Linked DNA regions of Rhinolophus ferrumequinum. The protein of the gene in region 4 binds, or shares a complex with, the protein of the main gene of each other region. Links are inferred from orthologs where the notes say so. Each region holds a gene or a part of one and is shown on either strand. Other genes may lie near its edges.

The links.
Region 1: the proteins of PAK1 (region 4) and ARHGEF7 are in contact, whole or in part, in an NMR structure (PDB 1ZSG), measured with the Homo sapiens proteins. The link is inferred for Rhinolophus ferrumequinum from reciprocal best matches to the Homo sapiens genes PAK1 and ARHGEF7. Residues at the interface, in NP_001363202.1 of Homo sapiens: Thr185, Pro186, Pro188, Val189, Ile190, Ala191, Pro192, Arg193, Lys198, Arg203, Ser204; in NP_001106983.1 of Homo sapiens: Lys192, Phe193, Phe195, Thr198, Asp201, Glu202, Glu217, Gly220, Trp221, Trp232, Pro234, Ser235, Asn236, Tyr237.
Region 2: PAK1 (region 4) and DAB2IP share a complex: the UniProt entries of both Homo sapiens proteins name them as parts of the cytoplasmic complex. The link is inferred for Rhinolophus ferrumequinum from reciprocal best matches to the Homo sapiens genes PAK1 and DAB2IP.
Region 3: PAK1 (region 4) and MAP3K5 share a complex: the UniProt entries of both Homo sapiens proteins name them as parts of the cytoplasmic complex. The link is inferred for Rhinolophus ferrumequinum from reciprocal best matches to the Homo sapiens genes PAK1 and MAP3K5.

The regions. Positions count from the first base shown.
Region 1 is NC_046287.1:54,063,412-54,071,342, reverse strand, and holds the start of ARHGEF7 (rho guanine nucleotide exchange factor 7), read right to left. Parts: upstream 3,193-7,931; coding exon 3,028-3,192; intron 1-3,027. UniProt on the Homo sapiens protein: Acts as a RAC1 guanine nucleotide exchange factor (GEF) and can induce membrane ruffling. Functions in cell migration, attachment and cell spreading. Promotes targeting of RAC1 to focal adhesions. May function as a positive regulator of apoptosis.
Region 2 is NC_046295.1:71,938,404-71,946,944, forward strand, and holds the start of DAB2IP (disabled homolog 2-interacting protein), read left to right. Parts: upstream 1-5,096; 5' UTR 5,097-5,168; coding exon 5,169-5,271; intron 5,272-6,399; exon of another isoform or gene 6,400-6,548; intron 6,549-8,541. UniProt on the Homo sapiens protein: Functions as a scaffold protein implicated in the regulation of a large spectrum of both general and specialized signaling pathways.
Region 3 is NC_046286.1:82,961,133-82,968,602, forward strand, and holds the start of MAP3K5 (mitogen-activated protein kinase kinase kinase 5), read right to left. Parts: upstream 3,509-7,470; 5' UTR 3,297-3,508; coding exon 2,855-3,296; intron 1-2,854. UniProt on the Homo sapiens protein: Serine/threonine kinase which acts as an essential component of the MAP kinase signal transduction pathway. Plays an important role in the cascades of cellular responses evoked by changes in the environment.
Region 4 is NC_046294.1:51,808,846-51,816,747, reverse strand, and holds the start of PAK1 (serine/threonine-protein kinase PAK 1), read left to right. Parts: upstream 1-4,374; 5' UTR 4,375-4,871; intron 4,872-6,170; exon of another isoform or gene 6,171-6,282; intron 6,283-7,902. UniProt on the Homo sapiens protein: Protein kinase involved in intracellular signaling pathways downstream of integrins and receptor-type kinases that plays an important role in cytoskeleton dynamics, in cell adhesion, migration, proliferation, apoptosis, mitosis, and in vesicle-mediated transport processes.

The DNA.
Region 1 (7,931 bases), on a different chromosome or scaffold from region 4:
GGAGTGTCTCCTGTGCAGCCCTTTATGGATTACTGTGTGTTCTGTTATCCTGCACATACAGAGAAAGAACCAGGTTCTTTGCCTTTTCATGGTGAACCAAGCAACTTCATTGGCTGCATTTACAAGTCTAATTAAAGCAGCATTTCATGACTTCCATTATTTTCATGTATTTTGTTAATCTAACAGTAATATTCCATCCTCTGAAACTTCTGTATCTTGACTTCACTCCCAGTGATTAAATAGGCTAGGGATGTTTAAAGTGTTAACTCATGAGCTCAGTGCCGATAGGTCTCACTGGATCCTGTGGCCTTGTGTGTTTCCCACCACAGGAGGACTGAGGGAAGCAAGTAGTGAGGGCAGGTCAGCAAAACATTCTGGCCATTACCAGAGAAAAATCAAACTATGGGATCCCCATACACGAAGATCTGGGAAACCTTGTAATCCCCACTTTTCTCTCCCCTGCAGCAGAAAACATCATGAGTAATAAATAATGAAACGTGTGTCTTGTCTGATCTGCTCATGTAAAGTTTATAGTCCCCTCTTTTCCCTGTGCAACTTTCCACCCTAAAGAAAAGCAGAACTATATGAAGGAGAACCTGAACAGAAAACTTTTTTTAAATGAGCAGAACAATCTGAACCGAAATGAATTTCCTCTTAGTTCTCCACCCTTTTACTGGCTCTAAAACACAACAAATGAGCATGATGCAAGGAACATATTAGGGCATGTTTTCCTAATAAAAGGCATATGGGAAATCTGAGCCACCCTAAAACTTTTCTTAATTATGCACTATTCCCAGTCTAATGGTTCAAAATTTTTAATTATGAATTTGCAAATGTTAAATTGCAGGCTGCTTACATCCCATTAACCAGTTGTCAGTGTGTTCATGAGGCAAACAGGAGTAAAGTTAAGATCCTTTCAATTTCATATGAATATTCTGTTCAGTTTCCAAATGCTCCTTTTTAAGGAAAAACGTCCTCAGACTAACATTCCCACATTCCAGGGAAAGCTGTTCCGCGTGTGCTTTGTGGCATACATTATTTGCTGTGCATGCAAACATCCAAAAGCTCAAATAAATAACTCTTCTTAGGAAATGGAAAAAGCTCATGAAACTTCTGAAACCCAAGGTTTCAGAGGCAGAGCGAATGGCTAATATTTTACTCCAAAAACCTACCTTTGAACCACAGAGAATGAGTAGCTGACTATAATTTGCTACTCTGATGTTAAACTTTCATTGTGATAGTCTCAGTCTAAAACAAACCAATTGGGGCCTACGGGGAATAAAAGAATAGCTTCAATAGAAGAAATTTCCAAATGACAATAGTTCTAGAATATGTTGGGTTTTCTTCAAACTAAACATTTTATTCATTCCTCTCTTTGTTGTTCTAGAGATGAAAGGCATGCTACAGTGTTCTAAGAAAATCTTCCTAGAATTTAAAAGAAAATGATTATTGAAGTTTGCCAATCAATATTAATGTAGTTAATAGGCCTATAACACGCATTGATAGTTTTTATCTAGACAGCATATGAAGTTTCACTCTTAGAATGGAATGGTATTTTATGTAAGCCTATTTTGATAAACTTAGCATGCATTTTCAATGCTTTTCAAACATCTGTCTTTTATTACCAGAGATTCTGATATCCAGATGACAACAAAATATTTTGAGTGCCTTGAAAGTTAGATCCTGCTCCTTATTCCTGTCTTAAATCATAATTTTATTGTGACATCAGGTTCATTTACAAGCAACATTTTTATTTTCAGGACAGGCAGGAAGTTATTCACCCTACAGTGCAGATTATGTTTTCATAAACACGTTCCAAGTAAGAAAAATAACTAAAACTACTATGTATGCAAAATTCATATTAATAAACTCTTTTCTGACCTTTAAAATGTAGCACCAGGACATGTGCAAACTTATAAAATCAAACAGTTTAATTTTTAAAGTCACTTAATATTTTTATTAGCAAATTTTTATTGTGCATTAGGGCCAATATGCCCATTTAAAAAACAAAATAGTTTTTTCCTAATCATGGTGTTACTTTAATTTCTACATTTAACACCTTTTAAGTAATTGTTTACCTTAAGATTATGTATTGGGGGGGAAAGGGAAAAGATTGTAGTGTTTGTCAGATATAGAGAATGTATCCTTTTTAAAAGCGCTTCTCTCCCCTCGCCCCTGCTTTGTCAGCTGTGGGAGAGGAAAGCAAACTTTAATCACTCACAGAGATGCGGGTCAAGGTTCACACTCCAGCCCCGGGGAAACCACCAGTCACGAAGAAAAGAAGCAGGATCTGTAGGGCTAGGGATTCTGTTCAAAATCAGGTAGGAACCTGAAAATGAAATCTAGAATTTTAAGCCAGCTTGAAGAATGCCAGGGCTTTCCAACCCCGCATTTGCAATCCTCTGGGTTTAGAGACCTGAGGGATTCTTTCGTGGGGAGGGCAGTAAATCATTTCACAACCCAGCCCTCAGCTATTTATGAATGCATCTTTAAAAAATGCACAGCAATTGGTCAACTAAACGGAGGACGAAACTCCCATACGATACCACCAACAAAAGCTGTTCAAACAAAGCCTCCGAGGAAGCTGTGCGCGGTGCTGAAGCACGGTTTTCTGATCGGGTCACGGAGAGGGGCGACTCCACCTTAGGGCAGAGCAGAGCGCTCCCCTTCCCTCCGGGCCTCCCCGGGGTCGTTCCCCTAGAACGCAGCCCCGACCCCCGCCCCAGCCCGCACCGCACACAATGGCGCCCCAAGCTCCCGCCACTGGGTCCTCGCGCCGCCAGCGCGCCCCTCGCGCGAGCCACGTTCCCGGGTCTGCGCACAAAGGAGGCGCGTGGGCTACCCCGCGCCCCGCGCTCTCCCATCCCCGCGCGGCCACCAGGTGCGGATGCGAGCCGCCCAGCGCCCGCGCGTCTCCGCGCATCCCGGGCCGCGGCGCAGGCAAGGCGGGGAGCAAGGCCTCCCACTTCCCGGGGCTCCCACCGCCGGGGCCTGTCTGCCGTGGGGGCGCGGGCCAGGGGCACTCACTTTCTCGATGGTCCCGGGCAGCAGGCGCTCCAGCAGCCTGCAGAGGACCACCCCATCCTTCAGAGACGCCTGCAGGAAGCCCTCCGGGTCCGAGATGGTTTTCTTGGGCGACTCCAGCACCCCCAAGGTAATGAGCCACGTAACGGTCTGCTCCGCGGAATTCATAGCGGCGGCGCGCCGGCCTCCCCGCGCCGCGAGCCCGTCTCCGCGCGGTTCACCGCGGAGCGGCCGCTGCCGGGCCGGTTGCGCTCACCGCCCCCTCCTCCTGCTCGCCCATGGAGAGGCCGGCGACGGCGATTGGCTCGGGCGGCGCCGCGGTCCGGCCGGCTCGCGCTCCCTCGCGTGCGTCCTGGCCGACTGTCAAGTGCCTTTTCATTACATGCACATGAACCTGCGGCGGCCGCCCGGCGCCGCCCCCGCCGCCGCCTCCCGGCTCCCAGCCGCTGCCGCCGATGACATCACTGCAAAAAAGAAGAAAAGACGCCGCGCTGGAACGGCCCGGCCCCCCGGCCGCACACGCACCCCCACGCTTAGTCCCCGCGGTGGTACTCCCTCCACCCCCCAGGCCCGGCAGTGCGCGCGTGTCCGCACCTGCGCGCCTGGCAGTGGACTCCCGCCCCAAGGGCCTGGTGACCTCCAGGAGGCGACAGCCCGCCTGCCAGAGAGGGCTCGCGGGGACTCCCAGTCCGCGGGCGGCGCGCGCTCTTAACCGTTTGCGCCCTGCGGGGCCCATGCGCAACCCCCTCCAGAGGTGAGAGCCTAGCAAGACTCCTCTCCTTGCCCTGTCCTTTCCGCCGCCCTCTCCCCTCCTGGAAGGACTCGGAACCGTTTATTTATATTCTTAACTCATAAATGTTTAAATTATTAAATGCTTCCCAGAATGCTCTTTTTATTTTTGCCAGTTTTATTTCAAGGGGTGGGGGAGTGCTTCTCTCCACTACCTTGTAAGCCAATAATTACAGAACACAAATGATAATTATATCTGTAACCAGATGGGTCTAATTTGAAGAGGAATTGATTTTCCAGGCGCTGCTACGATCCTCGGGGGCGGGGGGGCGTGGATGCCCCAAACAGCGTGGCCGGTGTCACGCGTGCCCCCTGCTGGGAGGCCTGTTTCCGAGCAAGTGACCTCACTCGCTGGGGGGCAGTCGGCCCCACTCTCCAGGACCAGAAAGAAACCTCAGAGCTGCTCCACTTTAAATTGATGGTGATGTTTCAAACGCTGGTAGGAAGGTCAAGAAAACAGCAGAGCCTAAACTGTATCTGTACAGATGAACTGGAAGGAAGGACTGTGCAAACAGCTCAGTCAAAACAGGCCACTTGGCCAGATCACATTTGGGCAAGAGATGCTGTGAAGACGTGCAGGGTTGGACCTAAAGTACTAAGACAACCAAATGATGCACAATGAACAAGCTTTTTCAAACAACCAAGGACACTGACACGTTTATATGTTAACCAAGGAAGAGAGCCTCATCTTAAAAGAAGCAGGTTTTAGGTGTACATGTATGTCTGTTTTCTCCATCCAGTCTCTGAGTGCTTTCCCTGTGACAGTTTAAAACAGCATTAGCACTCACCTACAGAGAGCTACTATGTGCCACATATATTAGTAGAGTAAATGACATAGACTTAGAAACCATATAAAGATTTTTAAAAAAGAGGCTTAACTCTCCTCTTCTTCACCTTCTTCCAGAATACTTTTATTGTAATCATGAATTGCATTTATTACCAGCTTTAAGTGCTTAAATTTTTCCAAATGCAAACACAAAGTAATTCAAAGAGCACTATGAATTCTGGAATATGAGGGTGGAATATTTGGTTGTAACAGCAACCACTTCCTGGGCGCCCTGTGCCTCTGCCCAGTGCTCTCTCCCTGCATTCTATCACACCATCATTAGCACAGTTCTCATTGTCCCCATTTTACTGGGGTGGAGATGGACTCAAACGTGGGCTCTGTGACTCCAGGACCAACACACCTCACCTGTTTTCTAGACCACTTCCCCTACACGCTTTCTAGGAAACCGCAATCAACAGCTCGATCAAGTTTTGTGTTCAGAGACTCTATCAAGGGAAGGGTATGGACCCAAGAGTTGTCCACTGAGTCTCCTGTTTACTCTCATTACTGCTGAATTGGAGACATAATTTAGAATACAGTCATTACAATTTCAAATTTCATTATAATCTAGTAAAAAAGAGTAACATTCAACTTGACTCAATCAAATGGTCCTACAGAAAGACAGCTCTAGGCAGTGACCTTGGGTGACCAATGAACCTGGCAGCCAATTATTGTCAGATAATAACTGTAATAACTGCCACCTATAACTGGCCTTAGAAGTCCCTGAATGTTTAAATGCTTTATAGCTACTAGTGGCATTCTTTTACCTTGGATGTACATTAATTTCAAAAATGTTTGTTTGGAGCATGCTAGAAGTAACATTGTTCAAAGCTAGGTGTTTTAGGTATTTAATTGAGCTGTTTTAGTATCCAAGGTGGACATTTGGTTAAACTTAATATTTTTCCAAGTTCCTATTATAGGGGACATGTGCTATGGAGGAGAACTCATTGTTCTATTGGGTTGTCAATGTCAGCTCAGGCACATGTCCTTCAGTTCCCTCATTTCCCAAGAGAGGATTTCAGCCTCACACCCAGCTCGACTGCCTGTTCATTCCTGATCCCAGGCATTGTTAGGGGTACACCCACAAACCATTACCCAAAATTCAGCTGAACTGGGCTAACTTGATTTGTTAGCTTGTGGGTACTTGGATGATGGTGTTACAAAGATGTTAAAATCTACCCCAACCTAAAGCCAGACAGGCAGATAACTATTTACCTAGAAATGTGTAGCAATCACTGTCTGTAAAATTAATTTTATTGATTTGGACCATTATCTAGATTGAACAATTCAGTAAGAAGCAGTTATGTGAAGTCCATTGTATCTATTGTATGTTAAGGCACTCGTTTTATCAAACTGTATCTTATTTATTTGGCATAAATATGGTCACATACAAAAAATTAAAGATGTAAGGCAGGAAACAATAGCTTAAAAACATATATGGCTGAAAAATTACTCAGGCTCGGAAGACATTTTACCAATATAGTATATTATGAAACATAACGTCGGTGAAGCCCTTATCTTAGTTTGGATTCCCACAGAAGCAGATCCTGGCCAACAACTTGGGAGCAAGTAGTTTATTTAAGAAGTAATCCCATGATGGACAAATGAAGAAGGGGAGAAAGGGAAACAAGAGGGGGAGAAAAGTGAATCAAAGGTGTATAAATGAGCAACTGGGGCTCAGATCCCCTGGGGAGCCTCGAGAAACAGTGGAGCAGGTCTCAGAATTTTCTGACCAGAGGATGGGCAGGCTAAAATTTATGCCTCGACTCCCATCTCCTGAGATTGAGGGTCTTCCCCAGGGCAATGACTTCTAATACAGCAGAGCCTAAAGTTGCAGAGCAGGAGGCACAAATACCCTAAGTGGATCAATGGGAGTGATGGTAAGAGAGGCCAATGGTATTTCCACCCATTGATGCCTGGATGCTCCTTTTTAGCTACGTGGGGGCACAACACGATATAAAAGCCATTGGTTCAGTGTATGTGCCACATCCTAACTCTGCAGGAAGTCACCCCCAAGCTGGTTTCCTGCAAGTATCCATCCAGTGAGATGAATTGCTTCTGCCTCCAGGACTGTAGGGCTCTCATGTAATCACCTTGCCAACAAGTGGCTGGTTTTACCTCATCAGTGGGTTAGAATCAGCCTCTGCTGTGGGTAGTTAGGTCAGCCTTCATGAGAAGGAAGCCACAGCGTGGTTTTTTGCACTCCTCCATCCCCACCGCCATGACGGACTGACTATGGCCGGTTGTGCAGGGCCCTGTGTTGGTAAGCAAAGCCTGGGCTGGCTTCACTTGGCTACAGACACCATCTGTGTGCCTGGTTGCTGAGTGTCCCTTCTTCAGTGATACTCTGAAGATTGATGTGGGACTCAAGACCCACACGCCCGTGTCTGTACCCACAGTTTCCTCCACAGCTCCTCCACCACTTCCCTGCAACCATTGATCCCATCTTGCCCCTTCCAGGCACCCAAACAAGGAGCCCAGACACCCACGACTGTGCCCAAGCATCTGTACCCAAAGGAGATGACCAGCAAACTGCTCCAAGCTTTGCCAGTCAGAGGGCATCTCCTCACCATTGTCCTTTAGCACCACCCTGGAGTTGGGCTGTAGTGTGACGGCAGTCCAGATTCATTCACACCAAATTATCAACCAAATCCATTTGTAAACCAGGCCCATTCTCTCTCTGTCATCTGGGCATAGTAAAGATTCCACAATGTCACAAGCGTGAACTGAGGAGTATTGGGAATCCAATCAAGAGAGACAGGTGATTTGGAGCTCTGGGCCACTTGTGTCCATAGTTTCCTGTGCTTTCAGAACGTCCATGGCCATGCCAAATGCACCGTCCCTGATTGGTGGATGGCTGTTGTGCCAGCTCTACCTGATCATTTGGTGCTCCTCCCTGGTGGCTGACTTTCAACTCTTCTTTGACACTTTGTTTTAAGTTAGATTGTGTAAACAGCATAAGCTGTAGTTTATTTTTTATGCCTCTTTGATAGTGTCTGTGTTTTTTTAAATAGGAAAATAAGTCCATTCGGATTTAGTGTACTGCCTGATTCACTTTATCTTTTCCTATCCCTTTAAATAAATTATGTGTTTTATATTGTTGTAAACCTACTTTTTATAAAGCAACAGACATTTGAAGATTAAACTATTCCAATATTAAATCCTAATGACACTATAACAGCCAGGGCTTGTTGGAAAACAAAGTGTTTTACAAATCTGTTTTATCCTCCATGTGAATTTAGCTCAAAGATACCAATGACTGTCATCCTCAGTGCTCTTGACTGGATACTAC
Region 2 (8,541 bases), on a different chromosome or scaffold from region 4:
CGTTTACATGTTGTGTGATGTTCTGCAAATTGCTTAAACTCTCAGCCTCCGTTTCCTCACCTGTCAAGTGGAAATTAATGACAGAATCACCTCAGAGTTGGTGGTTAGAATTAAGTGAGAGAACACTCAAAGCACCTGGCAAAACACTCACACTTGCGCACATGTCTACGTATTTGTACCAGATGTGGAAATTTCTGGTAATTAACAGTGTCCAACGATGATGAGCAGCTGAGCACTGGAGGTATACAAGCAGACACAGGTTCATTCACTCGTTCAACATTCATTGAGCATCTACTATGTGCCAAGGCATTCGCTGGGGGTGGGAAGAGGTGCAGCAATGAACGAAACCAGGCATGATCCCTGTCTTTAGGGACATCCAGCCCCGGGAAGGCGACACAATGATCCAGTGATCATGCCACGAAGAAAAGTGACTTGGCCATAAGTGTGTCGCATGCAAGGCCAGGGAAGGCTTTTGTGGGGTCTTGACACCTAAACTGCCATGGGAAGAAGTGAACTGGGCAGAGGGATGGAGGAAAGTGTTTCGGAGAGGGGATTCTGGTGTGCGCAGGTTGTGTAATGGGAAGAAGCTTTGCATAACTGGGGACCTGGAAGCTGGATGAAGGCAGACAGAAGGGGGGGGAGATGGCAAGAAGCCAGGCTGGAGAGGTGGGCAGGGGCCAGACCGCATGGGGCCTGCTAGGCCACATGAAGACAATAAGAAGCCATTGAAAGCTTTTAAGCTGGGGTGGGATGATATGATTGAATCTGTTCTTTGAAAACCTCATGGAAGCCGTAGAAAGAGACCAACAGGGAGAGGGCCCAGCTGGATGTAGGGAGCCAGCTCAGTTCTTACTCAAGTCCCGGCAAGAGACAACAGACGGTGCCTGGACTGGGCTGGAAATAAACATTTGGGACTCACCGGCATGAGGACAGCGGTTTAAGCCCTCGGACTGGATGCAGTTGAAGTTGTCTGCGGAGAGAGTCTGGAAGGAAAAGAGGGACACAGACCATCGCAAACTCTAGCTTTTGTAGCCCAGTGGAGTAAAATGAGGGAGCCAAGGAGAGGACCAGAGAACTAGGAGAAAAACTGGGAGAGGATGGAGAGTTGGAAAAGATCAGAGAGTGTCCAGGGGGTGAAGTATAGCCAAGAGGTCGGGGCAGAAAAAGATGGAAAGGTATTCTTTGGCATGACCAACAAGAAGGTCACTGGTGACCTTTCTGAGAAAGCACTGAAACAGCAGACTTTAGGCTGAGTGAGGTTCCTGCCTTGCATGGCCATTTGCGTGAGATGAAGGGCCTAATGTCCATGTCACTAGGATAATATTACCTTGTCCAGTACGATCTGGATCAAAGAGGATCAGCTCATTAGTTCAGAAAATCTCTGAACTCGTGAAGCGCACAGTGTTCTTTTCCAGTGACCGTGTAGCCCTGGTGACTTGACGTATTTGCTTGTACAACATCTAACACTGGCCAATTCATCTTGTAGAGTCTGGACCATAAGCCATTTGCCATCCTCTATGTTGCCGTGATGGAAGCTCCCAACAAGTGGACATATGTGGATTTTGCATATATAGTGCAGACGATGCAGTTGGTAAATCGTCTCAGACGCACCCCTGGGGAAGGTGCCACAGGCTCTGTCACCCCTACAGATGGAAGCTGGCAAAGAAAAGATGGGTCCAGATTGGGATCTCTGGACTATGTGTGAGAACAGATTGAAGGGGGCCAGAGTGGATGTGGGGAGACAGGGAGGAGGGTCTGTGGTTCTGAAGTATTGCACAGCCCTCACCCAGGGGTGGGACAAAGGACAGGAGGGAGGAGCCCCAGGACCATAATTTCTGACCCTTCCATCTTCTGGGCCAGCCTCCAGGCGCGTGCTTTTGTTCAGAATTGGAGAACACCCGCTCACATTGTTTTTCAGCCTCCCACTTTCATAGGAATGCAAAAAGGTTCCTTCCAGCCTCCCCTGTAAACGTCTTCCTCTTAGCCAATATTCACATAATTACTACCTGTTCCAAAAATGGGGCCATGCATTTTGCCTCTATTATCTCACTGAATCCTCATGAGAACCCCTTGCAACAAGCCCCAGTCACATCCTGGTTGTGCAGACACAGAAACTGAGGCACAGAAGGATACAGCGTGGCCCAGGGCACAGAGCTGGCAAGTGGCTCAGCCTGGATGTGAACCCCCGTCTCTCTGACCCCAAAGGTCACAGCACCTCCCAAGGACACTCAGTGAAGATCTGTATGTGAGATCGCTTTCCTTTTGAGAGTTTGGCATGACCCCTTTTATTATTGAGTATTTAGGTCCACTCACCCCTTTATTCATTCAACAAACCTTCTGGGGCCAGGCTTTATGCAGGTGGTGGGGCAGCAATAGTGGCTCAGACAAGGTGTATGACCTAGAGCAGCTCACAGTCTGCTCAGGGAGGAGACAGCTCCATAACCAGGTGCAACAATCCACAATGTGATAAGCACAGACAGTGGGGTGGGCGGCCACTGTGGTAACCCTCTGTCTGGGAGAGCCGGTGCAGAGCTCCTAGGGGCTTCCCACAGGCTGAAATGGCTGCCCTGGGTCATAATAGGAGACGCAGGCCCTTGCCTGGCAGAGACGAAGGACAGGAATGCCAGGAAAAATAAACAGTTTGTAGGAAGGCATGAAGGTATGACGGGGGGGGGGGAGGGGGGGTGCGCTTTGGAGAGCTGGCTGCATGGTGGTGCTCGGGTGTGGGAACCTCAGCTGGCTGGGACGAGGGTGTGAGACGGGAGCAGGACGCTCATGTTTACTGAGCACTCTCACCACGAGCCAGGGGCTTTGTGCTGAGCACATCACAGCCACTATGACCACATTATTAAAATAAGGAAACTGAAGTTCAAAAGCAGGACTGGATTTTATGTGGATTCTCATCATGCTTGTTCTGTCCCTTAAAAAAAAAGTTATGAAGAAAACATCTGCGTACCTACAGCCCAGGTCAAGAAATAAAACCTTACCAATATGACTGAAGCCCCTCCCATCATCCATTTGTAGCTCCCTCCCCCCAGAGAGAAACTCTTCCCTGAATGGTGTATTTATCTATCTATCATTCCTCTGAGTTTCTTTATACTTTTACCATGTATGTGCGTTCCTAGCATTATACGGCATCATTTTGTTTTGCACATTTTAAAAATCTATATGAATTATATATCATACTATTTGATTTTTCTGCAACTTGCTCCCCACCCCTGACTTACTAGTTCATAAGGAAGCTCTAGTGGTTTATTTTCACTGCAGTGTAGAATTTCACTGAGGGCTCCACAGTCTGTTCATGCATTCTTCCCTGATGGGCATTGAGGCTGTTCAGACTCTTTACTGTATTAAAACTGCTGCAATGAGCGAGAGGTTCTGTAGGCTGATCCCAGACGCCGAGTCTCTGGGTCGCTGGGGTGCATGCATCTGCGACACGTCTATGGTAGATGCTGTCAAATTGTTTTCCAGAGTAGTGGTACCCATTTCGCCTCCTGCCAGCAGTGTATGAGAGTTCTCTCAGCTATCCCTACCTCTTTGCTGGTCGCCAATCTCACAGGTATGAAACGGCTCTTTACTGGGGTTGTATTTTGCATTTCCCTTAGTCTGAGTGAGACAGTATCTTTTCATGCACTTATTGGTCATTCAGGTTTCCCCTTCTTCAAGTTATCTGTTCATATAGTTTGCCCAATTATCTCTTGTTTCTTTTGAAATTGATTTGTAGAAGATCTTTGTATATTTTGGATATTGTGTCCCCAATATCTTGCTTTGATAAACAAGGGCTTTATACTTTATTAAATGCATCGATATTTTTCTTAATAGCTTATGCCTAAAGACACAAAGGTCTTCAAGAAACCTTTCCATATTTTTAGCATGTAAGTCTTTAATCCACCTGGAATTGATTTTTTAATGCATGGAGTGAGGTAGGGATTCCACCTCAATTTTTTCCCAGTATGAACAGCCAATTGCTCTATAAATCACTGTTTGTAGTACAGTCCACCCTTTCCCCAGTGAACTGCAGCCTCACCTCTTGCCGCGTATCAGGTTTCCACACATGTGTGGGTCTATTTCTGCAGCCTCTATTCTAGTCCTTTGGCCTATCTGGCTGTCTATCTATCTATCTATCCTTGAGTTAATATCATACAGTCTCATTGTACCTTCTTAGGCCGTCAGAACCTCCTCTCCTGAATGAGAAGGGTCAGACAGAAGACCCATGTCTTATTCATCTTTTCATGCACTCTTTTCGTCATCACTCATTACATGAACATCCATGTCATGCTTTTATTTACAAAGACTTTCTCACACTCTGTCTCTTGGGCTTCTAATGCAGAAGAAGAAACTGAGTCACAGAAGTGCGATAACTTGCCGAGGTCACACAGCCAGAAAGTGTAAGATTAGGGGTTCTGCAGGATTTCAAAGCGACCCTTCTGCATCCATGCTATACTGCCCAGGCTGTACTTGATCCACCCACTCATCTGGGCTATGATTTTCACTCCTTCCTCCCTTATTTCAACCAGGAGCTCCTGAGTGATGTGTGCGTGTCAGCTTTTGTTGGTGCTAGGGCCTAGACTCCATGTCTGGGGACCTCTTCCCCGTGCTGGAGACCAGTAGGGAGGGTGGGACCTGCAGTGCGCATTTTGTGGGAAGTGGTTTGAGGCCTCGGGTCAGCAGGAAGAAGTCTGGTGGGGTTTCAGAGTCAATTTAAAGAGCCCCATGCTGGGCGTGCACTTGGGGCCCAGGCGCTGCCTTCAGAGAGGATGCTGGCTTCCCCCAGGAATTACAGGCGTCCTCCCGCCCTCCCGCCTCGCGAGGCAGGAATGCGAAGGATCAGCTTTCAGCAGAGCTGCGGCTGCTGTTCCGGGGAGCTCCAGGTGCAGGCCCTTCCCCAGCGGCCAAATTAACTGGTTCTGTCTGTCCAACTGGGAGAGCAGCTCTCGCTAAAAATAGCGCCCTGCCCAGTGCGAACTGAGCCCGCCGGGAGCCGGGGCCGCGATTGTGGGAGTCCGAGCCGCGACAGTCTAAGAAGCCCGGGGAGCCCCGCACGGCCCCACCCCGGGCCTGGCCCACGTCCCACCCCCGAGGCCGTGTCCGCAGGCACAGCGCTGTCTCCACAGGTGCCGCGAAGGGTGGCAGGTCCGCGGGCCGAGGCGCCGCCGAGGCCGTCCGGGATGGGAGCCGGCGGCCCTGCCTCCCGCGCGCTCGCCTGGGCCTCCCTGCCCCTGCTGGGGCCTCCCGCCGGCGCGCTCTGCGAGGACACAATTTGCTGCGGAGGTAAGGCCGGGCCGCCTGCGGGCGTGTCCATCGCTCTTCCCAGGCACTTGCTGGGGCCTCTTTCTCCTTCCCCACCCCAGGTCCGCAGCGGGGGGCGAGGTGGAGGAGACCCCAGGCATCCGCGCAGGGCTTGTGGAGAAGAGCCAGGTGTTCTCTGTACACTTACCTGTAGTTTGAAAAAGTTGCAGTCTCACCACCAGTGTCCGAGAAGTGATCACCTCCCTTTTCGCCTCAGTCTTCCTATCTGGAAAATGGGACAATAAAATCGTCAAGGTTTAATATTTGTTATGACCCCTAGAGAAGTTGGGGAACCCTTTAAAGCGGATCACAAGCATTCTGGAGACGTTTACTCCAACCCAGATGGAGTCCTCGAGAATTTATGTTAGTGGGAGGGTTAGAGGTGCCTTCCTTGTTACCCCCCATATCTCCCAAAACTCTGCACCTAGCATCAGTTCTCAGCCCCTGCTGTCAGAAATGGAGGCAGGGGCCCACAGCAAAGTTTAAGGGGTCAGCGGACTGTGAAAATCCTTGCAGGAGAGGACGATGTAGACTTGTTAGAGGGGTGAGCAAGGCAGAGTCTCGGTCCACTCCTCAGTCGCGTGCCCCGAGAGCCCCCAGGCGAAAGCCGGGCTATTATCTTTGAAATCCTCAGGGCCTGGTGAGGAGCGCAGTCCGGCTGGCACAGAGGCCCTGGGAGGGCTAGCTGAGACAGCCGATGCGCTGTACCCGGCCGGGCCGGGGCTTGGAGAGTGGGGGCGGAGGGGCGTGTGGCCTGGCCTAGATCGGGGGTGGAAGGGAGGGGGTGTGTGGCGCGTCCTAAGTCCTGAACCAAAGCGGGGGGGGGAGGGGGCGTGTGCCGGGAGCCGAGGGGGTCCGCCCTGCCGGTCCCGCCCCGCGGGGTTGCAGTACTGGGGTGGATTGGTCAAACAGGTGCGCCCCCGCCCCTCCCCTCCCGACCTCCGCTCTGTGCCGGCGGGGCGGGCGGAGCTGCGGTTGGCTGGGCCTGCGGATTGGCAGGGCTGGGCGGGCTGGGTGGCCAGAGAAGCCCGGGAGCTGGAGCACCCAGGCGCAGGAGGAGGCGCGGAGCTGGCCAGGGCGCACTCCTGCCCGGCCCGCCGCCTGCTTGGCCCGTTCTGCTGTGCTCCGCCTGGCTGGAGCTACGGAAACTTTCCTGCCACCTGGCGACCCCGCGATCCCACCACCTCGTGACCCTGGCCCTGGGCCGGCTCCGGCGCCTTTGGGATGGCAGCGCTGAGCGGCCCAGCTGGCGGGTAGAGGTAAGATCAAGATGAAGTGGGCCCGCGGGCTTGCAGCGGTCCCAGAGGGATCTCGGGTTGGAGAGGGTCTGGAGGGCCTGATAGGAGATATTGGGGGTACAGGACAGAGGAGTGGGCCGCGACTTTGCTTTACTCACACTTTCTACGTTACAACCCCTATGCCACAAGAATGTCTACCTGGTGCATTGACCCTTGAAACTTTCCTGTGAGCCCTGCCTGTATCTCTGGGTCCTTGGGGAAGAATCGCTGTGGGTGTTACAAGGAAGGCACACCTAGTGGGGACCCGCAGCCAGCTGAGGGTTGGGGGGGTATCTCTAGCTTCCCAACTCCAACGCTTCCAGTGGTTTCCCAAAACTTCAAATCCTCCCCAGCCCACTCTGAGGAGTTGGGGATTGGATAGCCACTCCTTTCTGCCCAGAGTCAGGCACCCCAGGGCACCCAGATTTGGGGTGTTGTTTTGTTAAACCCATTGCTACTCCTCAATTTTCGGGGAGAGGGCGGAGTCGAGTGAGGTCTCCTTTTGGTTTCCTGGGCTTCCTTGAACCCTGACCTCCATGAAAACACCTTGAGCTAAGCAGAATGGCAATAGGCACCATAGCCTTCCATCCAGGTCCCAATTCCCAGCCTAGTGGGAATGACTGTGGGAAAAGTTTTCTGGTTTCTGAATGGCCCATATTTTTGAGGTTTCTGGCCTGAGTCATATAGAAACTACGCTCCTGTTCCCTGCCCCCTTCTGCTATTTAGGGGGGAAATTAATTTTGACTTGAATTTAATTTTGACTGAGGGTGGATGAGCAGAGAGCTTGTCACCTCTGAGGATCATCATCTTTAACATGTCCCCTCAATGTCAAAGCCAAACTCCTTTCAATTTTTTCTTGACCTACAACAAAACACCTGAGAGTTAAAAACCAGACACCGGCTCTGGAGCCCAGAGAACCTGGGTTCAAATCTCAGCCCCACTGCTCACTTGTGTGTCCTTGCGCAGGTTTTCTACCCTCTCTGAGCTCAAAGGTCCCACCCCAGGGGGATCTAGTGAGGCTTTTGAGAGTAAGGCATGGAAGGCATCTGGCTCATAGGACAACAGCTTTGGGCTGCCAGTCTGCATCCTAGGGCGTGGACCCTCTTGCTGCCTGAGGGACCCAGCCCATTTGTGCCTCAGTTTCCCCTTTTGTCAAAAGTTGGTATGGACCTACCCCTCTCAACAAACCCTTTTGAGAAAAGTGCACAGATGCACACACCCTCCGAGGCATGATCTGTAGACCTGAGATTTAAGACAGCCCCCTCCGTCTCCCTCCTTGTCATGAACTATTCATGAGGCATAGGCTTTCTGTCTAAAACTGATCTCTCCTCATCCCTTTTGGATGCTTGGAAGTAAAGGTTCCCTGTAAGTATCAGGGAAATGCAAATGTACTGATTAACCAACATGACAGCGAAAGGGGCTGACCTGCAGAAACTGGCCCCAAGTCACCTTCAAGGTTATCCAGGCCACCCCCTCCCCAATCTTCCTTACCTGGTAAACAGCTATTTTTTTTTTTTTTTTTTTTGCTGGGATCCTCTAGTGACAGCCCACTAAGGCAGCTGGCTTCATGATTGGGCAACTCCACTTTGTTAAAAAAGTCTTCCTGTTTGGAGCGGAAATCTGTGTGCCTGTTACTTCTATCCACTGGTTGGTTCTAGTACAACCCTGCAGGCATCTCTTACTGGCTCAATTATCCACTGCAGTCCCCCAGTGCCTGGCATTCTGTTCCTCCCTTTAGGCATTTAACACACTGAACTGAGTTTCGCAATGATCGTAGCACCATTTATTGAGTGCTTATTATATGCCAGGTCCTGTGCTGAGGGCTTTACACATATTATTTCCTTGCATCCTTCAGACAACCCCATGAACTTATTTTCTTATCCTCATTTTGCATATGAAGAAATAGGTTTGGGGAAGTTAAGAGATTTACCCAAAGTCATATAACCTTTAAGGAGCTGGGGTACATCCTAAACCT
Region 3 (7,470 bases), on a different chromosome or scaffold from region 4:
ATAGAATTTGAAAGCTGCAGGGAATCTGGGAAACCAATTATTCCAACGGTCCACTCTTTTCTGCGATTTTTAAATGACTTGCTTCCAATCAGAGAACCGAGGACCAGAATCCAGATCTTGAAACTCTTGTTCCAGTGCTCTCTATGCCAACATACCATGCTGCCTTGCCTTTGCAAACTCACAGGATTAAATGAGGGAATCTTAGAAATTCACTTCAATTTCCCCCTCCACTTCCATCCCTGGTCAGTTTTACAAGCCTTTGGAGGAGATGAAGGGCCTTGCTCACAATTACGTGGTTCAGAACAGAGCCAGATCTAAGTTGAGGAGTAGTGCTCTTTTCACTAGGTCAGAATGATTCCGCTTTCTAGGGGAGCGGGGTGAACGTATAGCAAAGGTCAGCATGGCCCAGGGTCCAAAATCCTGCCAGGCCTGTTTTCGTACAGCTTACAAAGAATGGTTTTTATGTTTTTAAATGGTTGGGGGAAAAAATTTAAAAAATATTTTGTGAATTATATGAAATTCTAATTTCAGTGTCCACTAACAAAGTTTTATTGGACTACAGCCAAGATCTTTTGTTTAGGTACTGTTTATGGCTGCTCTCCTGTAACAACCACAGAGTTGAGTAGTTGTAAGAAAGACCTCCTGCAGAGTCTAAAATATTTACCATCTGGCCCTTGACAAAAAAATTTGCAGAATCCTGATGGAGGAGGAGCAAGTGCTGTCTTAGAAATCAGAAGAAAAGTTCTACTACCATTAAACTCAGCAGCCTCTACTACCATTAAACGCTCAGTTTAGGAAAATAAAGGGTTTGGACAAAACCGATACCCATCTTCATTGTGGCACATTTTGAAGCTGAATGAGAAGGCTCAGAGTTCACGTGACTCACATAGGCAGAGGTTAAACTAGGACGGGTACAGGATGATGGAAGCGGTGGAATGGGACAGAGCTGGCCTACAAACACTGGTCTTCCTAGAACAAGTTCTCCCCACTATTGCGTTGCACACTGCCCCTAAACGGCTCACAAAGTCTCTGTCCATCCTCTGTCACATAATTCCAAGATAGAGAGCTTCTCTTGACTCTGAGAGAAAATCAGCTCAACTAAATGGAGGCAGCAAGCTTGAGCTTTTAGAGTCAGAAGCGGATTCCCAGCACCGACCAGTTACTACCTGAGTCCTGGGACCAGTTCTGGATCCCTTGGTCTTCTCACCTAAGAAAGACAGTAAGCAGGGACTTCCTTCACCAGTTTGGAGCATTAAATGAGATATACAGTTCAGATGTCCAGTCCCTTCTAATCTTTCTCCCTTTCTTAGGGACACTACTTGGAGAATAAACAGTAAGTGAGCCTTGACAGAAGACTTTCAAATCGGCTTAGAGTTTAAGATATTTTCAAAGCGCCCTATCAGTGGAGTAAAAATACACTATTTGGCTGGGTGTTTCCCTCACACATCTTTCAGTTCTTTGAAGCTTCCTCCTAATTATAATCCAAAAGTAAGAGTGCTCTCATTTTTAGAAAAGTTATGTTTATGCCATTTTTTAGCAAGCCACCCAAAGAACCAAGCTACAATATATTATACTCATGTTCAGTTATGAAGACCAAGAAGGCTGTAAAAAATACCAGAACCAGAAAGTCCTAGTTTATTTAGTCTGGCTTCCTTAACATGAAGTTCTTGTGCTTAAAATATTCAGCTTTGACTGAATTCCAAAACTGACATAAGCCTACTTTAGGTGTTCTGAAGAGGCTGAAGAGAATGAGAACTGAAAACAAGATTAGAATATAAAACCTTTTATGTGATCACAAATGCAAGAGCCTTATTGTTTGAAACCACCATTAAATCAAATTTTCTGCCCACACTTATAAAAATAAGTATGTATATATGTTCAATATTGGTTATACAGGGTGCTAATGGTTAGTTTAAATAACATTATTATTCTTAACATTTGCTAACAGATAGCTAATCGCTTCAGTCACTGGAACTACAATACTTTCTGAAATCTGTGATAGGTTAAAATACATTTTTTTCATGGATCATGCTAGCAGTCACTTTAATGGCCAATTTAGTGTTGGCTGTCAAGAAAGCCTATCAGCATTTTAAACAATGCTAAATTATACACTTTCCAGTCCATCATGGCATATGGGGTAATGAAAAACAGACCCTGGTCCTTTCACTGAAATCCTAACAAAGATACCACACAAGTTTAGTGTAAGTTACAAGGTTATTACTTTTGGAAGTAATTACTTAAAAGTTGATAAGAAATGAGAAATTCAAGCCACCAAACTTAAGGTAACATGAGGTGGGAAGATCAGGACATGACATGCAAATTCATACAGACACACTACGTGCATGCAGCTGGCTGTGTGGCATAAGTTATGGTTTCTGTACTCACAAAACTATACAGAAGAAAAGACCAAAAAAGAAAAAAAAAGAGAACCCTCACCTCAGTCACAGGTAGATACAGAAGGAAAATATGGGCCAAATCTAACACAAGAGAAACCAAGACACTGAATGAAGGGCTGATTGGGGCCAGTATCTCGCATTGCTGAGGAACAAAAGTTCTGTATGAGGACCACACAGACCCCAGGGCTCCAGCGCCGGTGGGTGGGTGGGTGGGTGAGTCAGCCGGTCTCTCGCACAAATACACACAGGCTCTTGCACCAGCACCCACTCTCTCCCAAGAGCAGCGAGCGCCAGCAGCAGTCGCGCAGCGCTGCTGTCTCTAAGGTGCGGCAAGAAGTAAATAAGTAGGAAGCACTCCTGCTGCCCAGAAAATTATTTTTCTCCTGCCCAGAAAAACATATTTTTAAACCCTGCAACGGCCAGGGATCGTGGAGCATGGGAAAGGGTTACACACGCACCTGCATTGTAAAAACGGTCCAGCACCGTAGTCTCCCCAAAGTCCAGTTTACCAAAATGCAGGGTCTCCAGGGTGGCGCCCACCGTTTCGCACGCCTCCCGCAGGCTCTGCAGGGCCTCGCTCTCAGCCACCACCAGCTGCCCCTGGCTCGCTTCGTTGATCACATATGCCACTGTGGTCCGTCGGCTGCCTCCGCCACCAGAGTTGCCCCGGCACCGGGTGGCGCTGCTCCCGGAGGTGGCAGCGGGACACCCAGTGCCAGGGGCGGCGGCATTCTCCACGTTCCAGAAGCTGCCCGGTGGCGGCGGTGGTAGCTGGCTGTCCTCGCCCTCGGCTACCACTCCTCCCCTCCGGCAGCTGCCGCCCTCAGCGAAGGCACAGGGGCCCAAGGGGGCAAAAGGTGGCACGGAGAAAGTGATGCCCTCGCCCGCCTCCGTGCTCATCTCTCCCCGCCCGGCTGCAGTGGCGGCGGCGTCCCCAGACCAGTCGCACCGTCTGGCCAGCCACAGCTCGGGGCTGCTCCGCGCGCGCCGGGCTAAGCAGCTGCCATCGCGCGTCGCGCCTTCCGCGCCGCGCCGCCGCCTCTTCTCAGCTGCCCTCTCCCCCGAAGGGACGCAGCCGCCGGGCGGCGGCTCGCCCCTCCTCGGCGCCTCCGTGGCCGCGCCGCTCCGCTCGCCCGCTGCAGGGTGTAGAGTACAAGGGGTGGGGAAGTCGGGTTGAGCTGGAAGGGACAGTGCTTCCTTTTCTCGGCGGGCGAACAAGTCGCTCACAAACCTGCGCCGCGGTGCAGCTCAAGGGCGCCGCTCTTGGGGTGCGGTGCGCCTTGGCCACCAGGAGCACGGCACCGGCTCCTTCCGTGCCAGGCGCTCTGGGAAGGGCCAGGAAGAGCGTTCTCTGGGTGGGGAGCTACCTGGCCAGCACCTTACGGGCTGGCACGCTCCCCGGGCTGCGTGCCGGAACAGCGGCAGCTGCAGTCGAAAGGATCCGCCTCGCTGTTCCACGGCAGTTCTCCTTCATCTGCTCTATTTCCTCTTCCTCCCCTGATCTCCTTTTTCTTCCGATCGCCGCGGCCGCTAGGTCCCGGCGCCAGCCTTGCAGCTGGAGTCTCAGCGCTCCTTGCAGCCGCTCACGCTGTGGGCCACCGGCTTCTTGCCGCCCACTCGTCGCAGCACCGAGAGTCAGAGCCCGCCCCAGGGGAGGGCGTTGCTGGGAATCTCGAGCCAGGACAAAACTGATCGCGCCCAGCACGAGTGCTGTCCGGACCAAGGGTCTCTGCCGTCTCCAACCAGGCCCCCACCTAAGAACATCTGGAGTAGGCAGAAGCCCGGAGCGCACGAGACAACAGTATGACGAAAAAAAAAAATAGTCTCTCTGGCGAATGCTCGGATCCTCTGAGCTAGCCTCGAGGCATTTACAGCGTTCACCGCCGCCACGGCGCCCTCCTCTGGTCCCTGCCTCCGCAGCGCAGTCTGGAACCGCCGCCTGCCCTGAAAGGATTGGGGCAGCGCCGGGAGGCCCGCGTTGCGCAAAGCGGGGGCATTTCAACCAGCGCTAGGGAATTGGGGCCTAAATTGGGGAGGGTGTTTTATTAGTGACAATGGCGCTCCGGAATTGGCAGGCTAAATTTATCAGATGTGCGCCTGTACTTTTCATTTAAAGTTTTCCAACAGCTGTGCTATCATTAATGAGTAATTGATTAGGTTCAACTGCTGAGAGATTTAACATTCTCATTTAGGATCTTAACCTTCCCCCAACACACACATATGCTATATACTTACTTGAGATAGAAGAGGAGGTCTATACCAGATTCGGCAAATCATCAGCCGCCAGTTGAAAGAGGAAAATTAAATGACTTCTTCTGTTTTTTTAAGTTGAACCACAGGCAGAAAAAATATGTGGATTGCTTAAGAGCATTCAAAAAGTACCTACTTATTTGGGGAGCAAAAATAGAAGTGTAAATTCTCAGAGAACTCCAGAATGCTATGACTTTAGGAAAACCAGTGAAAATTGCAAGAAAATAAGGTAGGCAGGTTTTGGGTTTCCCATCTCCAGGAACTGAGATTAATGAGTCCTATGAAAAAGGTAGAAGAATAATTCAAATTACGTTCAAGCTTGGGTGAAAAAGGAAGGATGAAACAGTTGAGTAGTAAAGAGTTCAAATGAGGAAGAAAACAGTAATAAGAAGAAAAACACCTAGTAGCTACGCAACTGTATCCCCAAGGAAGCAAAGTGACATTAGCTTTTTCTAAAGGTTTGTAAACTGACAGAAGTGAATTTATAGTAAGGATACTTAACACTCTTCATATCAATTGGAATCCATGTGATCCACACGTGCTTTTGGACTTGATGTCATTAGAAAAGTATTTAGTGAATCAGTGACCGTACTGAAAACAAAAACAAAGACAACGTTGATGGGCTACTAATATAATAGATATATAACGTTTAGTATTTCCAACGACTTGTCAAACCTCCAAACTCCTGCGGGAATAGATGATCCTCTACCCCATCCTGACCCAAAACAATAAACACTGGAAATTCATTAGGATCAAGTCTGGAAAACTAAAATGCCTAAATTCTCAATAGCATTTTACCACACAGATCTAAGATTATATAAAGGTATTTTCTAAAAACCATAACTTTTTAGACCGTTTCAGCTTTGCTTCCCTTCTAGATCTTTTCAGAGCCACCTTTTTACTTTTGCTCGCTTCATTTTGCTTTGAATTGATTTAATAATTTTAAAGATTTTATTCATTACTGGCACCCAAACCCCAATGCAATGCTGAAAGACTGCTTGTACATAGTTGGTCCTAAGGCTCTCTCACTACCTAAATGGCATGGTTTAGCTAATGAAACTTACATGGCATATATCAGGTTGAATCATGGAATTTCCAGTTTTATAACTAATAATCAAATATGCAAAAATTCAGATGGTTCAACTTGCAACGCAAATGTGGGGCCTGTGTGTAAGCAGAGGAGATAGATGTGGTGCCAGTACCCAGCCTGCCCTCAGCTTGCAAGGCTGGCCCAAGGTGCACATCTGGAGAAATGAAAGCATTTTTCTAATTGGACCACCCAGAGGATGCGCATGTTTGCAACTTGTCTGGATCAAAGGAGCACTTTTTTCTAAAGGGCATCTCAGGGTTGTTCTCAAACAAGCAAAATGGTGAATTTCAAGCTTGAAATGGGCAAGGATCTCCTAGCTAGCTAGCTTTTGTTTTATGTGACAAGTTTGCCTCTTTCTTTGTATCCTCAGATAAGTGGGAATACAATATACGTAATTGTATTGTACTCGTAATTCTAAAAAGTATTTAAAGTTACGTACAAAACAAGGTACATATAATTTTAAATTGTCAGAAATCAATCAGGAAGCCAGTAAAAGAGATATCAAGCACACATATAAATACATAATTCAGTTAATTGCTAAACTGAGCTCTGTGTGTTTTGGCTGCTAAAATAAAAAGAAAACATGTAAGAGTACACATATTCATATGAAGAGTCAAATCTTTTTCCGACATTAAATTCTATACTTTACTACATAGAATCTGATATAGAGGACAGTGGGCAATACAATGCAATTGAAAATGGATTTGTTTGTAAAAAATTATATATGTTAGTTATATATTAGACATAAATTTATGTTTAATATTTTTAAAAGCCAAGAAGATAATATTAATTATTAACTCAAGGAAAGCATTTTAGAAGAATCTAAAATAAGACAAATCAGATATAATACTTTCTGGTTATATTGCTTTAATAAATGGAGGAACCAAGGGGATTATATTTCTTCGTTAGCTCACAAATTGACATTCTGCATCAGGGCAAAAAGGAACCCAAGGAGACAGAGAGGTAACATGTTGCGTAGATCCACAAATTGCAGGCTTCCCGAAGCTTTTGACAAAGATTAAATCACAGTCAGTAAATGATAGAATTATAACATCATAAAGATTCTATGACATCTTTACACATGAAAAAGGCATGGCAGCAGAACTGAAGTTTACCAATCAGAACTATATTCTCAGTCAGGGTCCATCCCATTTCCATTTAGAGATGGGCCTTGGGACACTTTGAGAACACTTGCAGGTAGGGCAGAAAATTTTCCTAATAAAAAACTGGAGGAATATCAAGGAGAGATTTCCGCTTTCTGATTATGACAGGTTAGGTAATTCTGATCAACCCTCTCACTGAAGAAGACTAAGAATGATGGACAAAATTTTTAAAATAATAATAATTAAAATAAAGGCATCAAAAAACTAATGAGATCATGTGAAACTATATGGCCAGATTCTGGAAGAGAGGGCAGGGATCCAGAGGGTGTGCCTACAGTCAGGGCTGCTTCTGTCCTGGCAATTTTTGTGGATCTGAATTAAGCAGCTGAGAGGCTAAACTGTTGTTTTTTTGTTTATTGGTTTTTTTTGTTTTGTTTTGTTTTTTTGGTTTTTGGTTTTTTTCACAACACCTGGAAAGTCAAAAGTAAGGATGAGATAACCTAGAAGTCAGGGTGAACTAGAAGTGAAATGACCTTTACCTGGATAACAACCAGGCCTCCAGACATTTGCGTAACCCAGGAAAAAGGCTCAAACCCTGAAATTGGATTAGGGTAATTCCAGGCATTTGGTA
Region 4 (7,902 bases):
ATAATTGAGCAGTGCTGGCCCCTGATATGCTGTGCTATCATAACGAAGCCTTCAGCTGTGGTAGAACAGGTACAAGTGGAAGGAGTACTTAGACTAGGTAGTAGCTCTAGCACAGAGATTCCAACCTGTTTTGTTTTTTAATAGTGCTCTCTTAAAGAGAAAAATTAAACTTAAAGTATCCCAGGTGGGAAGGCGGAGGGGCAAAGACGTGAAGGTGATCAAAAGGTACAAACTTCCAGTTATAAGATAAATAAGGTCCTGGGGATGTAATGTACAGCATGGTGACTATATAGTTAATACTGTTTTGTATATTTGAAAGTTGAAAAGGAAGTAGATCGTAAAAGTTCTCATCACAAGGAAAAAAACTTGTAACTATATGTGATGATGGATGTTAACTAAACTATGTGGTGATAGATGTAAACTAAACTTTCACAATATATATCTACATACATGTATATCAAATCATGTACACCTAAAGCTAATAGTGTTATAGGTCAATTATCATAATACAAAGATAATACACTTTTAAGAAAATATCCCACAAACCATTGTAATATCTAAGATGTAGTTTTGCCCACCTCAGAACAAGTTTCACTTCCTTGCGGGGAGGTATCACCCCCATTGAGAATTCGCGCTCCAGCACTTGAATGATATGGCGGTAATGTTAATTATAATTTCACGGAATTGACTGGATTTTGTTAACTATTTTAAAAGCCTTGAAGAAAGTGATTTTCAGGCGCAGGTTATCCACCTATCACTTTAGGACATGGGATGAAATCCAGAAGACTTTCACGGAAGATTTCTAAAAAACCTTCTTCTCCCACAGCCGGAGAGCAGATCATGCTGCAAATCAGGCCCAGAATGTAATAGGGCCGAGATCCTTTGACTGTTCCCGTATGCTAAAGTCGGGGTTTCCATAGGTAGGGAGTGGCACCGTGAGGCCTGGGATGGAGACATTTGGGTGGATGCAGCTGAGAACCCGGTACCTTTAGCAAGTAGCTGCTCCCCCTTGTTAGCACAGAGCTGTCACCCTTGACTAGAGACTGTACTCGCTTCTTATTGCTGCAGTAACAAACTGCCACAAGTAAGGTGGCTTAAAACAAGGCATTCATTATTTTTATTTTTCTGTGGTTCAGGCTGCTTTTCGAGGGAGTATGTGGATATGTGCGTGGGGGTGGGGATGGCTTTCATTCCCTACACAAAAGTTAGACCCTCGGATCTATTCCTTCCCTACCTACTCATCCCCATTCCTTCCCTACCTGCTGGGTGTTCAGTGGTCACATCCTCCTATTTCAGTCAGACACACAATCATTACCTCACAGTTCTGTGGTTCGGAAGTCTGAAATGGGTGTCACTGGGCTAAAATCAAGGTGTCCGCAGGGCTCTGTTTCTTTCTGGAGGCTCCAAAAAAGGATCTGTCTTCTTACCTTTTCTAGCTTTTGGAGTGGTTTTTATGCCTTAGCTGGTAGCTCCCTTCCTCTGGCTTCAAAGCGTGGGTGGAGTGCTTCTCACATTCAGTCATAACTCGATCTGACCTCTTCTGTAGTCTAACCTACCTCTTCCTCACTCTTCCGCCTCCCTATTCCACTTTTAAGAATCCTTGTGATTACACTGAATTTACCTGGATAATCCAGAATGACCTCCCCATCTCAAGACCCTGAATTTAATCACACCTGCATAGTCCCTTTTGTCAGGGAAGGTAACATATAGGTTCTGGGGATTATCAGGATGTGAACCTTTTTAGGGAGACATTATTCTGCCTACCACAGAGACCATGCAAAAGCAATTTTGTTTAGGATTAATTTACTGGGTTATGATCTTGGGTTAACTCCTCTGTGCCTCAGTTTCCTCATCAATAAAATGAGGGGGAAACAGTAGTCTATCTCAAAGGCTTATTAGAGGTGTACAGGAGATAGTGCTTAGAACAGTATCTGGCACATGGCAAGTGCTAGGTTAGCATTTATTTAATACGTTTTTATAACATTTTATTGATTCTTACTATGTGTCAGGCACTGTTCTAGATACTGGGGATATGGATAGAATGGATAGAAATATGACGATCTCAAGGAGCTCAGGGGGTCGGATAGACAAATACAGTTACTACACAGTGTGCTACACGCCATGAAAGGCATGGAAGTACTATAGGATTACAGCAGTGTGAAGGCTCAGGGAAACTTAAGAACTATCAGTTGAATGAATAAATGAACATGACATTTGAGCTGGTGTGGATGAACAAGGGGCCACATACTAAACCTGACGAGCTCGGGAGGACTGCACCGCCAGCCTTACAAACTCAGAGACCCAAAGAGACCACATAGGATGATCTGAACATAAAAAATTCCCGACTAAAAGCTAGTTATGGTGGGTAGTCACGTCATTGGCCTGTAGCTTCCTTGACAAAGGTCAATCTTTACCTTAAGTGAGCCTGTCTGTTGTCTTTTTGGCATCTAAAATAACATATCTTTGAAATGTCAGAGTAATCCCCCTTTCCAGACGCCCCAGGGCACACCCACCACACCAAAGCAGGAGACCACAGAACCCCTCATTGTTATCCTGTTCCCCAATACCATCTTTACATGCTGTAAATATTAAGTATTTACTCTCCTGGACCCACCAATGTAAAAGAAGCATCTCTCTCCATTTTACTTTTTATCCAATCCCAGAGATTTCCCCGCTTTGCTTTTTCCTGCCCCCGTAATCTACCACCGATGGATTTCATGTAACCCTCCTTATGTCTCCTCCTTTGATTCTAAAGTATAAAATAAGCTCCAACATTGCTATTCTCTAGAGCATTTTCTCAGTCTGTTGAGATTTTGCTTCCTGGCCATTGTCAGTTCGGCTCAAATAAACTCACAAAAATTCTCTATAGGTTTGGACATTTCTTACGTTCACACTGGGCTTTGTAGAGTGAATAGGTATTGGCCAGTGAGATAAAGAGAGAAGGGCTCAGAGCCATGAAGAAATGTATGTTCAAAGAACATTAAATAGCATTTTGGTGTGGTTGGAACAGATTTATGGTGTGAGATGAAGCTAGACAGGCTGCTGTAAGTCCCAAGGTTGAATGGTACGAAAGGCTTCCAGAGCGTTTAAACAGGAGTGGCCATCATCAGTTTGTGGTTTTAAAAGGCTACTCTGGTCCCCAGTAAGAATGGATTGAATTTGGAGAGACTGAAAGCTGCTCTAGTCGTCTAGGTCATGGTAGTGAGTGAAGAGAAGGGCAAGGCCTTGAGAAATATTTACGATACTCTACAGGATTTGGTGACTAATTTGATAAGGGTCTCGAGAGAGGAAGAATAGGGTTATGTCCAGGTTTCTGGGACTGCTGGATGATGGTCCATTCACCGAGAGCAGGAAGTAACATTAGTTGCACCTTTGGGTGAAATTGGTAAGAGGTATGGTCAACATTCCAAACGGTTTCATGTGTGCTAAATTGTAGTTATTATTATTATTGTAAAACTGAGGCTTGGAGAGATCAAATTTAGGTACACAGGTAGTACTTATTATGGAGAAATTGTGACTTAGAAATGTTAAAGTCCTATCCCTGACATTTGTACAGCTGGGACTTGAAGCAGGACAATCTGATTCCAGACGCTTAGTCACTAAGGTTTCCGTTTTGGACATGTGGAATTTGAGGTACATGAAGTGTAAATGACACTGCCAGGAAGCGTGGGGAAACACAGAATCTGAGCTCAGGGGAAAGGTTTGGGATGAATGTATCCTCCAGGGTCGGAGAAAACCGAGAAAGGAAGCCCATTTTTTAAATCTCAGTACAAGATAGTTCAAACCTCCATTAGCACAGTATTTCTTTATCTCCTCTCCACTCCAAATAGTATAATAAATGTTTGGCTCTGAGGTCATAGGAGATGGGGTGGTTTTCAAATATCTCTCTTGGTAATGATCTAGCACATGCGGTGGTGCTTTGTAACCTGAAGAGGACCACAAGACCAGGGGGTTAGCCATCTTTTGGGACTTTTCCTACACCATTAACGCCCCCAGAAAGCGTCCCAAAATCTTCCAGGAGAAAGGCCATGCCAAAGGAGCCTGCAGCTGTAGACCGCCGGACCTGAGACGAGCCGCTGGTGCAATGACGTCATGCGGCCTCCGGGTGATTCCCCAGTCTCTGGCGTCATGCGCCGATGACGTCATCCCAGAAGCTCGCCTTCCCCTACGCTTGGGTTGGCAGCACTCACGTGGGTCTGCCCTGGCCTCCCCGCCCCCTCCCACCTGCGGGAGGCGGGGCGGGCGGGCTCTGCCAGCGCCGCTGCCTCGCCGCGAAGGGGGCGGGGGCCGGGGCCGGGGCCGGTGGGAGAGGCGGTCCCGCCAGGCCCCGCGGCGTACAATAGAGCGGCTGCGGGCGGGCGTGCGGCTGCAGCTGGAGCCCACGGTGCCAGCAGGCAGTAGACGACCCTCACGGCTTCCCTCGCTCGCTCGCTCCCTCCCCGCCGCCTCCCTCCCTCGCCGGCTCTGCGGTCTTACCCCACGGACGCTTTCCCTTAGACTCTCATCCCCTCTTTCACGGAGCCCCACTCTGCCGAGAGCCCCTCGAAGAACTGTCTTCGCCCCACCTCCTCCCCGGGAGGCTGCCCGCGCCCTCTCACGTCCCCGCCCCCCACCGCACCCCCTTCCCCGCGTCGCCTGGCTCCTTCCCTTCCCCCTTCCCCGTCGCTGACACCCCACCCCCTCGTCCTGAGGGGACTCCCCGGCCCCAGCCCAAGCGGGGTGGGGGAGGCGCCGAGCGCGCCGCGGCGGCGGCGGGAGGGAGAAAGTGCAGCGGCCCGTCGCGCACACTCGCGCGCTCACTCCCGGGCTCGGCCGCTGCCACCCGGGTGGAGGAGGAGGAGGAGCCCAGTCGAGCCGGGCGAGCGCGGAAGGTGAGAGCCGGCCGCCTGCGGGTACCGCTGGCGTCTCAGGCTGCCAGGCTGGGGTGCGGGGTGCGGGGGCCTGGGCCCCATTCATTCGCGAGGCGGGGTGGGGCGGGCGGGGGCGCCAGGTGAGACGAGCGGGGGCGTCGACCCGCGAGGTTGGCCGTTCCTGTCCGAGCAACAAAGGCTCCGTGTGCACTCATCCTCGCGGCTGCGGGTCTCACGCTGGGGGACCCAGGAGACCCCAGGGACCCGGGAGAGGACAGAGGCTGGGGCGAGGCCGGGAGACTCCCCAGATCCCCGTGTGGGAGCGACTCCGTGCTGAACTTAGCGGTCCTCCTGCGCTAACCGTGGCCGGCGCTGGGGAAGCCTAAGCAAAGCGGCGTCCGATTCGTTCTGCTTGGAAAAAGCACCCCTGTCCGGGAGGGAGGAATCACCTGTAGGGTCCCACTTCTTGAAAAATACTATAGGATAGAGCCTGACTTCTGCAGTCCCTCCCCCACCGCGGGAATACTCTAACTTGTGGAGTTAAAAACAGGGAAAGGATAGAGCTATTGTTATGTTCATTATTCCCTTTCAAAAGACATGATTGTTGCAACCTTTACCGCCTTGAATATTTTCTCAGCCAACATTGGTGGGAATGTTTTTGGAAGAATGCTTGAGAAGTTTTGGATGTTGGGAGCAAAGTGCTTGTTGTTTGTGAAACCCTTTGGGTAACTGTCGTACGTTCCCCACCCCCACCCCCGGAACTGTGAAAGGTGGTACTATGGTTATCAATAAAAATTCGAATTCATTAGTCTAGCCTTTAAGAATTGTTCCAGAGAAAAATCTTTAGTTTGCTTACTGTCTTTGGGCGCTCTCAACTTTGTCAGGGGAAAGCAGGAGGCAACAGTACCCAGATGCCTCACTGGTCTTACCTTGTGACTTTACCTACTTCCTGTGTGACCTTGAGCAGGTCACTTCCAGCCTTAAAGTTCCAGGGGTTTGCTTTTATGCCCTAGAAACAGGCAGGTATCAAGCACTTACTCAGCTTTCAAGACTCCACTGAAGATTTCCTCTCTCTTCGCCCCACTGCGAAATCGTTGCTAGCAAACACCCCCAAACTCTAATCAGGCAAATCTGACTTCTCACTGGGGCCATCAGAGGCCTGTAGGAGTTACCACAGCGCTTGTAACTTTTTCTTGTTCCTGTTTGGGAAATCCTCAGGTGCATATGAAATACACCTCATCTCAACTAGAAATTCGACTCAAAAAGGGTTTTGGGAACATGGACCCTGAAACATTCCCTGAAGCTTATTCGTACCCTTACCTGTATGATGAGCTCATGGGTCTGTCTGGTAAATTTGCTGATCCAGTCTTTCATTTACCCAATATTACTGGAGTGTGGAGAGCTGCTGGGTTTCAGGTTTTCTAGGGCTATGGGGATTCAGAGTCTATTAAGACATTCCCTGTCTTCAAAGAGCTCAAAGTCTAGTGGGTGAGGTAGACATGTAAACAATGGAAGCCTGCCCTAATCTCTGGGGACTCCAGCTATCCAGGGAGTAGTGTGCAATAATTGCGGCTGCTAGACCTGTTTTACCAGTCTTTTGGTCCTGGCCAAAGTGAGTCCAAAGGGAAGGTGGTGACCTGCCTCTCATCCATAAGACAGCACTTGGTAAAAGCTTGTTCAATTCAATTTAATACGCATGTACCAAGCATATGTTCTGAGGCCCTGTGCTAAGCTTGGAGGAAGCAGTGCTTTCTGAAAGGAGAGTGGTCTGTATCCAGAGAGATCTCTGTAAATCAAAACCCATCACATCATTTCTCCCTACCTCAACTAGTCCTAAAGATACATTTTCAAACTCTTAAACAGAATAAGAAGTTCTCAGAGATCAGACGGCTGCCTACCTTTGCAGCCTCACTTTTCTATAACTCCCCTGCCATACTCTTTCTCATCCTTGCTTTTGCTTGTTCTGTTCTTTCTGCCTGGAATGCAGGTCTCCTTACTCCCTACCTTTCTGTGGAGAAGTGCTTGTTGGACCTCTGAGAAGCAGTCCCTTAGTCTCTCTTCCTGTGACTTCCATAGGATGAGTTGCTCTTTTATTCTTTGGCTCTTGCACGTACCACTCTTACAGCACTACACTGCAATTATTTGATTTGTGCCTGTCTTTTCCATTAGTTAACCTGTGAATTTCTTGAGGGCAGGATCTGTTTAGTTTTAGTGCCTAGCAAAGTTCTTTGCACTGCATAAGTGTTTGAAATGAATGAATGTCTGAATGAAGAAGCAAGCCCATGAGATAGAGGATAGCCAATCCTTTGGGTTAGAACAATTAGCTCTAAGTGTGAGCTCTGCACCAACCACATCAACATAATCTGGACATTTGTTAGAACTGCAAATGAAAAATTCGGGGTTGGGGCCCTAAAACCTCTGCTTTAACAAGCCCTGCAGGTGATTCTGACACTTGCTAAAGTTTGAAAACTGCCGGGTTAAAAGATCTGCTTTTGATAAAACCAGCTCCTTGCCAGCTCCCTTCCGCTCTTCCTTTTTCTTCCTTCTGTATCAGAGCATTTACTGCCTGACATTCTATTCTGTTCCATCTGTCTTTTGCCACTAGATTGAAAGCTTCCTGAGAGCAGAGAATTTTGTCTGTTCACTACTTGAATCCCAGTGCTTAAAATAGTGACTGCATGTATCAGGCACTCAAATATTTGTTGAATGAATAATATGAGATGATTTAGTCCCATTTACTGCCAGCTGCTACATTGGGATTTTATTCAAGAATAGTTCTCAGAATAAAGAGGAACCACACTCCAATATGGAAATTCAAGTGGATTCTAACATTTTTGGGGATTTATTTTAGACTGAGCTTTTCTCCCTTTTACATCTGTCTTTCTCCACCAAAGCCTGTAGGAGTTTTCGGCTTTTGTTCTTCTAGCCAAAACCTGAAAACTGCTGTTGAAATATCCTAGGCCAGGATTGTTTCTTGGGAATTTGCAACTTGGTTTTGCAAGTCTAACTAAGCACCCTAACTTCTGAGCCTTTTAACTTGAAACTGTCTCTT